Linked DNA regions of Schizosaccharomyces pombe. The protein of the gene in region 1 interacts with the protein of each later gene in a biochemical or structural test. Each region holds a gene or a part of one and is shown on either strand. Other genes may lie near its edges.

Region 1 (6,977 bases):
CAGTTTTATCCTTCCAGAGGTTACTTTGCTTATTATTTTTAACTTCCTCCAACACTATGCCAATGAAAATACGTTAAATAATCTTAGTTTTGAACAGCTCACAGTGGAAGACTAATAAACAAAACTCGACATAATATTATGATGATCATCCAGTCACTAAGTGAGCTATATTTTAAGCTAATGCAATCAATTTTCTTCAAATGCATGAAATTTAAAGGTTTACCCCAACAATATAATGTTGTGTTCAGTTGTGATAATTGTAATCTTTAAAGTATAGCTCGGTTAAGTGCACCTTAATTTCATAAGATTATTATTAGGCCCATAAAATTTGACGAAAGTTTTCTCGGTATTAGTATTCCAAAAAAAAAAAAAAAGAAAAAAAAAAAAAAACAAGGAAGAAAGCAGAGTATCTTTAAAGTACTTTCTGAAATATAATGTATAAGAAACTGTTTTAGTTCATCAATTACTTGAAAAGACGATTTAGCATTTTCAATAACTCAAACCATCATATTCTATCTGTAAGTCATTGTCAGAATCAATTAAAAACTTTCAACGTCCTTCGTATAATATGAACATAGAGCTTTGTAATACGAATTGCTTAAATGGACAAGGAATTTTCGCGTTTGTAGAGAATACTGATGAAGGATAGAACATATGTAACTCAGTATAAAATTGTTCCCTTATCTCAACAACCATAAGAATTTATATAAGTACAAGCAAATGCATCTTCATTATTAACTTTGATCGCTATACTATTATTGCTCCGAGTATGCCATGGACGCATTTATACCATGTTTGAAAGAGATTCCCCAATAGCTTATAAGGAGATAGCTTTAGTTTTTGAAGAAGAATCAATCTGACAATGATTCCGTCCTTAAATTATTTGACAACAATTAATTTATATTATTAGCGTTAATCTCGTTCAGTAAGATTAATTTAAAATGATACATACCAAAAACGATAAAGGAGCATTTTTTTAATAATACGAATATCTTTCACTTAACCGTCTTATTAATATACTTAAATATGTGAGTTTATGAGGTTGACTCTGTGTTCTGGCACCAAGATGTACTAATTGGAACCATCAATCCTTTCCGCACCTACCTACATTTTATCGTTAACCCTCATTTTTTTAACAGTTTAACTTGTTAACTTGATTATTGGTTCGTTTTATAATTATTAAAACAATTATTAATTAAAAAAGAAAAAAATGAAGAATACTATTGTTCAACAACAACGCTTTCTCCAAAGCATCCACAAACCAACTTACTTGCAGGTAAGTTTTAAACGAAACTTGTTTTTAATTATGAAGAGAAAAAAGAACCTAATTGTTTAATATTTAGAGACCAGGTAGTTTTGCTCTTGTTTATCCTTACTACGCTGTTATGGCTGGTCTTGGTTTGTATTCCCTTTATGCCTCTGGAAGAGTCATTTTCGTATGTTATTACTCGATTTATACTATTTTTTTCTAACCTTTCAAAATTAGGGGAAGAAAGATGCTTTTTGAGGACATCCGAAGCATATTTTTATGTCAGGGAACTTCAAATTTCTATGATGCCTTTTCCTTCTATTTATCACCCCCTTCTTCTTGAATTAGTTTAGCTTTTCAATCACGAACTAATCGATTTCGTGTTTCTTTACGATTAAACTTATTTATGCAATACTTAAGTAGTTTAGTAGATGCCTTTTAAGGTTGTTTAGCTGCACATGTAACAGTAATTTAAATTTCATTAAATGTACAACATGATAAATCAGTTATTTTACCTTCTATGATGAAGCTTTTTGAATCGAAAATGGAGGGATAAAACACCATTGTCAAAACTGCTTTTAAACCCATGATCTCGTTTTGCACTGTAATCCCAATCTTTATCTACTATACTGAAGGCAATATCCTGATATGGTTCCCCAGCTATAAAACGTATAATGCAAACATCGTCTTGTAAATCAGTAGTGTCGCTTTTATTCTTCCTTCGTGTTCGTTCTATTCGATACGTTGGTGCACGGCCTGTACCTATTAAATCTGGATAAAAAACGTTAAAACGGTACCCTTGAACTGCTTTGGGAGGTGGGTGGGCTTCATTGAAATGTGCTTGATTATAAGAATTCCATTCAAACCCAAGCAAAACTCTATTAAAGTAGTGAGGCTTTTTCAAAGTAACCCCGTTTTCGTTAACAACACGGGTTTGCCCTTCTACATAGTCCCCAAGCATCTCTTGCTCCTCTGCATCATCGGATTGTAAGTATTCTCTTTCGAGTCGTGCCCTGTTGGCAATTGAAAATTCATCCTCGTTAATCAGATTACTGTTTTTCGGCAAAGTTGGCTTTTGTTTTTGGGTAGGTATCGATATTGGAATATAAGTGCTAGACTTTACAATATTGACATGATCATTCTAGAAAAGATTTTGGTTAGGACAAAAGATGGAAATCGTAATTTGGAAGAGAGTTAATATTATGAAAAACACAAATATCTTACCAATTCTTTTTCATAATCGGCTTGTTCTTCAGGTTGTATCCTGCGTGGTATCGCTTGAGCCCTCAAAATGGGCTTCGGGTCTATAGGGACAATATATAACTTCTCTTCACGATCCTTCATATTTGACAGTTTTTTGGCATCGGAAAAAGCTTTGTCCCATTCTTCATTATCAAGTTTATTTTTTCGAATTTGTAATTCTTCATTAAAAGTCTTTTTTAAATAAGCAATGGCCTTGTAAGATTTTAAAGAGTTTAGTAAATCAACCCAATAATCTGTATCGAGAGGGACATTGCTCTTCAATTTTTTTTGAATTTGTGCCTCAAGCTGTTCTAATTGTTCAAAAGATTTAGGGGCTAAAATCCTTTGTACTTCACCTGCTACGACCTTTAACCCTCTTGAAAATTGCCCAACTTTGTTATGTTCCATTCGAGAATTCACTAGCATTTTAACGTACTATAATGTATAATTTAGCACTTAAAGCATAAAAAATAATCCATACCTTCCAATAAGTTAGTCTACATTGGTTCGTTTCCAGCTGCTGAATATCACCAATATTTCTAGATATCTCCTCCAAATCTTCTGCTTTATAACTCTAAGTATGTTAATGATTAATCTGTTATAAAGTAAAAATAAAATAAGTCCCTTACTTGAATAACAGAGAGTGGATCAAACATGTCAACTGTTCCAAAATCAATTGAATTTTTTTCTCCATTCTCTTCCCATTCTGGGCCTGGCATCAAGTAAACGCTGACAAGAAGTTTATCTATAGGCTTAGAACGATCATTCTTAAGTCGAATAATAGCTCTTCGAAGCTGCTGTAAACGCAAAAATTCCCGTTCTTGCATTTCTTTCGTTTCCCTACTTCGCTCTTCCTCTTTCATAGCATCTCTCACTCTCGGCTAAAGGGAAGGTTAATTCAAAAACAACTAACATTTTCCTACTTACTAAATTATAATTTGCTCTTGCATTTTGATTTGAAGGTCGAAATGAACGAGGTGAAGAAGATCTCGAAGCATGCCTTTTTTCAGGTCTACTTCTGTTGAAATCGCGAGTTGAATCACGAAATGCCATAGTAATATATTTAAATTCAATGCCTTAAATACCAATATTGCTGTATGAAGGGTGCTTTCCAACAGAAGAGAATCCAATTGCTTTTTTTTTATTTGAAACAACTCAATGAGTAGGTTAAGTTTTTTTTTTTGAAATTTGAAACGTAGAGCTTTGTTATTTGATAAATGAACTTAAGGTAATCAATTACTTAGCAATAATAAGACTTATCCAACAATAGTAAAATTTATGGTTATGGCAAAGGTGAAATTTTATTGCATATTCGAATGCTTAGTAGGTAGTTCTAATTTGACGCTTGGTGGTTTGAAAGAAATTGAGCGGTAATGTTATAGCACGAAAAACCCCTAATTCATTATAGTTGCTATTGGTAAAAGTCTCAACGATATCGACTAAAAGGTGAAGTAAAACTCAGTATTTAGTACCTAACGAATATAGGAATACCCAATATAAAATATAGAATATAATTTTGTTTATAGCGCTCACTAGTCCTCTGCTTTCAAACTAATCAGATATTTAGGCCATCAGTTAATTGGCAATAAAGTAGCTAGTGCAGCAGTTGTGGTGTTTATAGAAGTGCTAGAAGAATATATACACTTATTTGATGTTCTATTGCAATTATAGGTGAAAATGATTTAAATTTGTCGGACGATTTATTAAAGTGTGATAAAAGTAAAGCAAAGCAAGAATCTTGCCAGGCATGTGTACATTATAAGTTACAAACCAAACGATAGCGATTCAGTTCAATCATCGAATTTAGTTGCCTTTTATAATAATAAAAATACTGTAAAAGCATCTATGATACTGAGATAGCATTATACACAACTAGTGAAAATGAAAAGGTAAAACAGTATTTCAACTCGATTTTAATCGTAACTACCTGTATTTGTGTTTATTGTCAAAATATGTAAATAATGTAATTGTTTACATCTTTTATTGCCATAACAACCATTCAAAACAAAGTGCGTTACTTGACTAAGAAATGTAACTTGGCAAATGCCAAACAGTCAACATTGAAGCGCACTCAAAAAACGCGTTTCTCGCTCTTTTCTACTGTTACATCTATTTTAATAGTGATCTTCGATATAAATTGCTTTTATTCAAGAAGGTTATTGGAATTGTTGTTTGCGAGTGCCCTTCTTTTCATCTGTTTTGGATGATTGCTTGCATGGAAATTTTGCTTTTCAATGTCAAGACAGTCGTCCATTACCGTTACAGGTTAGTCTTTAATGTGATGTTTTTTAAATTCATATCTTTTTGCTAACATAAAATAGTCCGTGTTCGCCCATTTAGTACAGCTGAATCTGCAAATTTAATTGCATCCTCAGATCGTTTATCATTTGGAACATCTTCTTCCTTAAGGAACCCTGGTTCAGGACGTCAAATTCGACGAGTAGTAAAGGTACTTGATGGACGTGTCTTGGTATTTGATCCCCCGGATGAAACAACGGCTACTTTGAGTGCCACAAACCGCAGACTTTCTACTTCTCAACAGAGTCTCGCTAGATTATCTAGAAAGTCAAACAATTCTGCGGGATTTGGCCGTGATCTTCGTTATGCTTTTGATAGGGTTTTTGATGAAACTGCTACTCAGCAACAGGTGTATGAGAGAACTGCCAGGCCGTTATTAGACAATATTTTGGATGGATTCAATGCTACTATCTTTGCATATGGAGCAACTGGATGTGGTAAAACTCACACCATTAGTGGAACAATGCAAGATCCTGGTTTAATATATTTGACACTAAAAGAACTTTTTGAGAGAATGGATCATTTAAGAGATGAAAAAATTTTTGACCTTCGCCTTTCCTATTTGGAAATTTATAATGAAACTATTCGTGATTTATTAGTATCACCGACCCCAAATCAAGCAAAGCCATTAAATTTACGGGAAGATGCAGACCGTCGCATTACTGTACCAGGTCTTACTTCTTTGTCTCCAGAATCTTTGGAAGAAATCATTGATATTATCATGAAGGGAAATGCTAATCGTACTATGTCTCCGACAGAAGCTAACGCTGCTTCATCTCGTTCGCATGCTGTATTGCAGGTTACGTTGATCCAAAAACCTCGTACAGCTGGCATCAATGAGGACCACACTTTGGCCACTTTATCAATTATTGACTTGGCTGGCTCAGAACGTGCAACAGCTACCAAATTAAGAGGTAGTCGTCTTTTTGAAGGTGCTAATATTAATAAATCTCTTTTAGCCCTAGGAAATTGTATCAATGCCCTTTGTGATCCCCATCGCCGTGCGCATGTCCCCTATCGTGATTCTAAACTTACTCGCTTACTTAAGTTTAGTTTAGGCGGAAATTGTCGGACAGTTATGATTGTTTGCGTATCTCCGTCTTCTGTTCATTACGAAGAAACTCACAATACTCTAAAATATGCTAATCGAGCAAAGAATATCAAAACCGAAGTGTTAAGGAACATGATCAGTGTAGATCGACATGTAAGCCAATATGTAAAAGCAATCGTTGAGTTACGTGAGCAAATTTCAGAGTTGGAGAATCGTCTCGCACAGATCGATTTGTCATCGCAATCAAATGGTTCTGATCAGGACGCTGTAACTCAATCTTTTGCTCATGAATCGAAGCTTGCAGAAGCCAGAAATTTATTGCGTATGACATTTGAGGAGACTTTACCACTGCAAAATGATACTATTAATAAGGTAGAAAAGGTGAAACATTTTGATGATTCAATTCGCGTACTTAAGTACTGGTTATCCTGCTATGAGCGAATACTTCCGAATTCCGCAGATGAACGAGTATTTTTAGTTCGTTCAAAGTTAGAATCATTGTTAACTCGTCGTGCAGAGATCATTGCTGATATAGATCCTGAACTTGTATACCAAAAGTTTCAGAGAAGTGTTTCTCACATTATCAACACATACAAACAAGAAGGTGCTACCATGTACGCTGATGTGTTACAGGATGAAGTTGACTTGCTAAAATCAATTATTGAGAATCAGGTTCTAGATGCTCAGAATAAAGTTGATGAGTTCACTCCTGTTTTAGAATCCCTTCTTAGAAGTTCTTTCAAAGCTAGTTCATTGCTAAAAGAGGGAGGTATGCAAGAGCTATTCTCGATACTGGAAAAGTGGTTGTTGGGCATTGGTCTTGGCGAGAAACCTAATATATCTGTCTTATCAGAAAGTTATAAGCTCAACTCAACATCCGATGATTCACGAACTATCAATCGTGATAGAGTTCATAGTTTTCCCACTCAACCCTTGCTTAATAATAACTTGCCTCGAATGTTTTTCGTGAAGTCTCCAAAAAAACCAGTTGTATTTTCAAAACGTTCTCCAAAAAAGAGGGTTCGTTTCGACGATTCAATGTCTACGTCTGACTCAGGTGCCTCCGCGTATAACTCACCCATTCAAACCTCTAAGTTAAAGAACATGAACTTCTTTAATACTATGCATATGCCTTCA
Region 2 (6,977 bases), 1.1 Mb from region 1:
GAATAGCAATGCATCTCTGGGTTGGGAAACTTGAACGCAAAAGATGAGCCAGCTCAACTAAAGTGTATCCGGCACTAAATGGTGCGTCTCCATGATGATGAAGTCCTTCATTAACAGGGATTGTTTGACTTTGAGAGGGGGTTATAATTTCACCTTTGAAGCCAAATCGAATTTCATGAGCATGCAAACTCTCGACAGAAGGATGATAACTATTCTCGGCAGGACTGGGATCATGCAGCCATTGCATTTGCTTTTCATCAACAGGTAAATTCGGAAAATATTTATCATGAAGTTGTTCATAAAAACTTGGGTCATTAGGATCCAGCGTTACTTGCTTCTCTGGAAGATGCGTAGTATCAAATTCCAATGGCGCACCATCATTACTTGTTGTACCGTCACTGAGGGCTGGAGAATGTTTTTTGGGGCTATGTTTCGCATCTTCTGACGCATCGTCCTCTTCGTTACCTTTAATTGGAGCTAAAGTTGGAAGGGAAAATATTTTTGTCAGTTCCTCGGCTTTATCTGGAAACATAACTCGCTTTGTTTGACGAGATCGAATCTCAGCTTGGCTCAGCGCCATCGGGGGAGAGGGAGAACCGGAGGAGCTATCGACTGCCTCACTAGACAAAACGCTTTGAAGATTGCGATTCAATTTTTCAGAACTCCTTAATTTTTCATTCGATAAAAAGCTATCATCACTGGGACGCTGACTTAGGTCGGGTGTGTTAACTTGGGAGGACCGATCTTTCCTTTGTGCCAATTCACGTTCCGCCTTCTTTTTAAACGCTCTCTTTTTCAACATCTCCAGCAAGTCATCACGAATAGTGGCCCTAATTTCCTCTTGAGCTCCTTCAATTTCCAGATCATTCATCCTTTCCAAACGAACGCGATTTTCCTCATCAATACCTTGATCATCCAAATTCCCTTTTCCTTCCAAACCCGGAGATTCCTTATTCTTTCGAAGCATCTTCTCCTTATAAGCACTCATTGATTTCGATTCTCGTTTCGGCAATGTTCGTGAAACGGCTGGAAATCCCCTAGCATGCCGCTGAACTGACCTCTTCACTTCAACAAGTTGCTTCGGCGGTTTTTCAACAATATCACCTATCACATTTGAGAATACACTCCTGTGATTCTCCATAGCGATTGAATTTTGAAAATATCTGCTTTTTGTATGTAGATGTTTCCTTTTTATAAGAATTTAAGGGTCAATTTCTTCAAACCTCACGAATAAAGCCCTCTGAGATAGTATTATGAGATTCTGATTAAATGAATAATAAATACTTCAACCTTATGAGTTTTTTCTCCCTTTCACTATTTACATACCATTTGGTAGATTGCAGGGATGGTTACGTTTTCTCTCATTTTCTTAGCTATTTTGCGCTCACAAAATAACGGTACATCTCACTATATATGATAACGTAACTGTAAAAATTGATTTATTGTATGGAAAAAAAACTAAATGTTTACATGATATGAAAAATGGATGGTTTTTTCCTTTTTTAATTCAATACTTTTCATTTAATATTAAAAGTGCATAATAAATAATTAATTCGTGAAAAAGTTTTCTAGTTATAAAAGAGAAATTATGAGAAAGATAGTATCCGAGTTTAATAGGACTTGGGCTATCCTTGAAGATTAAAGAAAGAAAGAAGTTATTAGAAGAAACGACATTCATCCAAAAAGAAAAAATAGAGAACAGAAAAATGAGTGGCGAGTAGAAGATTAGACAAGAAAAGAATGATAAACACTAAAAATATTTCGTCTCAGAGAAAATATCTTAATTCAAACATAAAAACGAAAAACGTCGCTTTAACCCTTTTTCATATGACACACCTAAAACCAAACGCAGATGAGATGCGACTAATTATTAGCTCAATGTAAACTTCTTGTCCGTTGCCTATCAGGCGAAGAGTTAGAAGATACAGATCGTCTTGAATTGAGCAGAGCCCCATAAATACATCAATTATTCCAATATACATAAATCTTGAATCAATGTTCAATTATAGCAATTAAGTTTGGAATCCGTGCTTTGAAAATAAAAATTGGATTAAACTTGAATCTAAGATTCATGTCGGAGACCAACGATTGTCGAATTTTGTAGATGGTAACCAAAAAAGAAAAGGCCATTGTTGAATTGTTGCAACATGAAAAAACAAAAAATAAAAAATATGAATTCCGATGATGAACAACAATGAAAAAAATAAGACACGCAAAATTAAAGAATTGGGGAGTGAAACTTTGGAAAAAGCATTAGAGAGTATGGTGGAGGGAGATAAAAAATCTTTGGAAGACTTCTTTTTTAAGTTTTCGAACTTCTTTAACAGATTTTTTTGACTTTCAAGTTCTGATGCCAGTAAAGAGAGACCAGCGGCAAATTGGGAATCGTTCAAAGTCTCCGTTTTAGGGATGTAAGGGATGTGAAAGAAAGGGCTGGGAAAAGTAATTTTTAGATTTTGATACGGAGGGTGATTTTGGAAGGGTTGAGGCGCCTTTTCCTTAAAAAATAGTCTCAACTGCTCGTTTTCCAACTGAAGATGTGCAACCTTTTCTTCTAAAATCATGTTTGACTCCATAAAAGCGCCTCTTTCTTTTTGTTCCGACAAAGATTCTTTCTTCATGTAATCTGTTTCCTATTAAACAAATTAGTAAACTGGCTTGTCTCTACCTCGAATAAGGCATATTCTTAAAAATCATACCGTTTTCCTTTCCTTTTCTACAGCATGGATTAGCTCTTCCATTCTCACAATATGGGCTTGCTGTTGCTCATACTCTTCATGAATGGTTTGTAATTGAGCTGCATACTCCTTAGAATCACGAAGAGCTTCACGAAATTTTTTCTCCCAGGTTTTCGCTTGGGTATAACAAGACTTGCAAGCTTCTTCCGAAGAATCCAATTCCTCCAATAATTTTGCATTTCGCGCGTTTAGTTCTTTAACTTGCTCGTCTTTAGAACGTAATTCTGCCGCTTGAAGCTCTATCCTTTCATAAAGCTGTTGAATTAAAGAATCATCAGCATTTTCCTTGTTTATATGAGAAAATCCTTTATTTGATCCATATTCATTTTTAGTTCGAAACATTGACAAAGGGGTTGAATGACTCAAAGGTGATCCTTTTCTTGGTGTTATGTAACTTGCGTCTTGATAAAACATATCTTTTCTCTTTATTCGATTTTCTGATATTTTTTGAGGCTTCGCTACACTTTTTCTTGGTAATACCCCATTCTCGCGCAAAGCTAATTTGTTTACAGGAAGGGTATCAGGGTCAAGACCAGTTAACTCATAAAACAAATTCTTAATTTCACTCGTAGACACTACAATCTCACTGTTATCTTTTATAAAATCTTGGGCCGATTGTCTTTGCTCATTATCAAGCAAAGGGGCCTCTGGATTAAGTCGCAATGCGTCAACATCGTCGACAATTTCTAAAAATGCTTGAATGGAAACCTGTCGAAAATTAGAAACTATTTTTCAAGTAATGAGAAATTACTTTTCCTGTATAATCTGGGTCGTATTGGCGCACAATATCGTCAAAAGGGATGTATTCATCCATTTTGATTGTTTATTGACATGTGCTTTGGTTAAACAGAATTAGTATAAAGGCAGGTTTGTTAACGATAACTTGTGCGATTTTCTTATTTTTGTAATGTAATGCAGAACAATACGTTATAGAAGTTGCCTTAAAAAAGTAAACAAAGTGCAAGTCAAAACATAAACAGGATATTTTAGCAAAATGTTGCAGTACGAAATGTATAAAATTGTTAGCAAAATCATCTTCAAAATAAATTATTTTTTACTGATTGAGTTAAAGTGGAAGGAAAGCTTTACACTTACCTTTTTTTAAAAAACAAACAAATAAATAAACAGATAAACAAATGTGATCCGTTTCTTGAATCTAGATTTACTTAATTGAAGTAAATAGACTACTTAACTTAGAAAATTTACTACAATCATAAACAAGTGAAATTCTGCTCTCCTTTATTTTACAACGATGCACAAAAAGTTAGTCAGCGTTCCGACTAATTGGCGGTAGTAGAAATAGTAATTATACAAATTCTTTAAAATTTTCTAAAAAGTATATTAGTATCAAATTTTTCTTTTGACTATTTCACTGATTATGTTAGGCTATGGATTAATAGCTATTGAACTCGGTTTTCTTTGCATGGAATAAGCAAACTCACATTAAAAGTTGGTAAGTCGTTTTTAAAAGAGATGAAAAAGCTTAACTGTGACGATTATATCTCCTACTTCTCTATTCAATTACTGACAGCTTACACATAACAATGATAATATGGAGGATCGTGTTGCTTCAATGGTGCAACGATATTTTATTTAGGAATTTCAGTAATCTAAAACATACTTAAAAATAAATAAATCTAAACTATAAGCTTATCGAATTCCCAATACTCGTTCACTAGTACACGGAGTCTTTGTCTACCTCTCCTTAACCAAACTGTTGAAAGCTGAGAAACCTGTGAAACTATTTCTAAAAATCATTCAAACTAGGACTTTTATTGAACTTATGCGGTGATTGAAGATCCCTATGCAAATTGTAGGCTATTTGTCTGCAGATTCGCAGAGTAATCCTGATTTAAAATCCGAAAATGAAGCAAAAGAAGAAAAGCCTATTGGGAGGAGACACACAATGTCACCAGTCCCTGCCACATCTGAAAATAAATATTTTGGCAAATCTCCTTTGTCAGGGTCTCGTAAACCTCGAAGAAGCCGATCACTTCATAAGGAACGTAGCTACATGAGGAAATTCTTTGATATGGATATGGAGGAAAGCAAAGACTTTGAAAATGATCAATCTTTACTAGTAACGCTTAAAGTATCGACTTCCTTGGGTCAAAAAATTGAGAATATATTACACCCAAAACTCAGCAATGATACCAACTCAACTGCCTTTCCGCCTGCTAAGTCGTCGGGAGAAGCATCAGATACTAATATTTTAGTTGAGAATATTAATTCACAGGAAACAGTTAATTCTTCCCCCCTTGTTTCCGAGTTACATTATTCAAACTTAGCAGATTCACCTAGTAATCTGCGAAATACTGTCACATCCATGCACCCGTTTTTCATGTCAAAGTCTGTGAAAAAGAATTCTGAAATCAAATTTGTAAGTGAAGAAAGAGGCGGTACTAAGCCAGAGAGGTTACTTGATCCATTATGGCCGACACCCGATTCCCAGAGTATGTTAGAGTATGCCGGCTCTATTGAGCCGAGTGTTTTCTGGTTTCCGAAAAAGCATTTAGAAGAAGCCATTTTAGAAGAGACCTCTCATCTTTCGTTTAAGGAGGTTCTTTCCTCCACCACCGCGAATATGATAACCCCATTAGCTGAGAAAAATAAAACAGAAGTATTACAGGTTACTCCTTCTAAACTTCATACTTTTGCTTTGGAATCGTTGTGCTTTTCACCGGCTCCTTTTATTCAAAAGGTTTTGTCAAGACTTTTGCCATCAGATCCTAATGTTGAAATGCCAATGATCCCACAAATATTAGAAAAAGGACTGTGGGTGTCAAAATATGCTCCATCTAAAACACAAGATTGCTGTGCGTTCTCTCAATGCCTTTCGAAGATAGCGGATTGGCTAAGGTCATGTAGGTTGACCAAACCTGAAAGCTCATCTGTACCTCCTTCATCTTCTATATCTCGATCCTCGACTATTCATTCTTGTACATCTTCTAAAAGAAATGAAGATTCTCTTTCGGAAAGTGACTTTGAACCGGATATCATTGAAGAAGAAGATGATTCCGACGAGTTCAATCCTTCTGTGTCGCGTAAAAAAGCAAAGCTTACATCTTCTCAATTTTCTAACTGGATGCTTGTTACTGGTGTTACGGGAATAGGAAAGACTTCATGCTTATATGCCATATGTCGTGAGCTTAATTTTGAAGTTGTTGAAATACACCCGGGAATGAGACGCTCGGGAAAAGAGCTGCTTGAACGGATTGGTGAGCTAACACAAAGTCATATCGTTGATAAATCTAGGCTTAATAATACTCCTGACATTCTTATCCTACTTGAAGAAGTTGATATTTTATTTCAGGACGATCGTGGCTTTTGGCAAGCAGTCTCTACTTTAATTGAAAAATCTAAACGTCCTGTTGTCATGACTTGTAATGGTAGGGAGAATGTTTTAGTTTTTCCACTACTAACATAATTTTAGAAACTGATTTTTTACCTTCTGCCTTTCTTCAGGAAGACCACATTGTGCAATTTCAGTCCATCTCTTCTGCCTTGCTAACCGACTATATTTCTAGTGTATTGTATGCTGATCGTTGCATCATATCAAGAAATGTTGTTGAATCAATAAGCTACAGATATGGTTCTGATTTGCGAGGTATACTAATGCAATTAAACTTTTGGTCCCTTGTAAATTTCCCTTCTTTGCCTTCTAAAGATAAGCAAGATGATTCTCATGAACCATTTATTGAGGCAACTATTTCTGCCTTTGATGAAGGCGTTGGAGTTTACAACCCACGAATTCAAACTAGTGAAGATTTACTGCAAACGTATTCTGAGGAACAAATGGGAGATATTGGGTTACTGTTCATGCCGAATTTAGTAAATTGGAGAAAAGTTTGCGTCCCAAAGTCTGAAATGGAAGAGAAGGAAGCAATTATGGAAAAATTAATTTACAGCCATCAATACGCGGACTCTCTCTCTTATGTAGATTACCGCTTTAGCTCTCAACCCACTATTTATGAGACTTATGAGTTAATGAATGATTCCGCGTCATTTGAAGATATGAGTTTGGAATGTCGGGATAATTGCGCTAACGCGTTTCAAGATAATCTTGTGGGATTTCCAACGATTTCGAATCCCTTTCATGCCAACGCTCCTCCCGAACCCCATGAATTAAAGCTTCAATACCATTCATTTTGCTTTATTAATAACTTATTTTCAAAAAGCTCTTTGAAAGCTATTTCCAGTAACGATAGCATTGTTCCAAAAGCTCTCAATAACCGTGAA

What was found.
Region 2: the proteins of klp5 (region 1) and kms2 form a complex in vitro, tested with the Schizosaccharomyces pombe proteins (one study listed by BioGRID).

The regions. Positions count from the first base shown.
Region 1 is NC_003423.3:1,709,670-1,716,646, reverse strand, and holds the start of klp5 (kinesin-8 family plus-end directed microtubule motor Klp5), read left to right. Parts: upstream 1-4,529; 5' UTR 4,530-4,725; coding exon 4,726-4,756; exon of another isoform or gene 4,757-4,812; coding exon 4,813-6,977. Other genes in the region: cytochrome c oxidase subunit VII Cox7, read left to right, coding at 1,211-1,276, 1,344-1,436, 1,487-1,507; cay1 (cactin), read right to left, coding at 1,761-2,390, 2,474-2,926, 2,973-3,065, 3,121-3,372, 3,419-3,544. UniProt on the Schizosaccharomyces pombe protein: Has a role in establishing metaphase during mitosis. Required for chromosome segregation where it generates tension during kinetochore capturing.
Region 2 is NC_003423.3:645,438-652,414, forward strand, and holds kms2 (protein Kms2), read right to left. Parts: upstream 3,583-6,977; 5' UTR 3,553-3,582; coding exon 3,490-3,552; exon of another isoform or gene 3,447-3,489; coding exon 2,700-3,446; exon of another isoform or gene 2,634-2,699; coding exon 2,070-2,633; 3' UTR 1,499-2,069; downstream 1-1,498. Other genes in the region: rba50 (RNA polymerase II-associated protein), read right to left, coding at 1-1,141; DNA replication factor C complex subunit Elg1, read left to right, coding at 4,543-6,127, 6,172-6,977.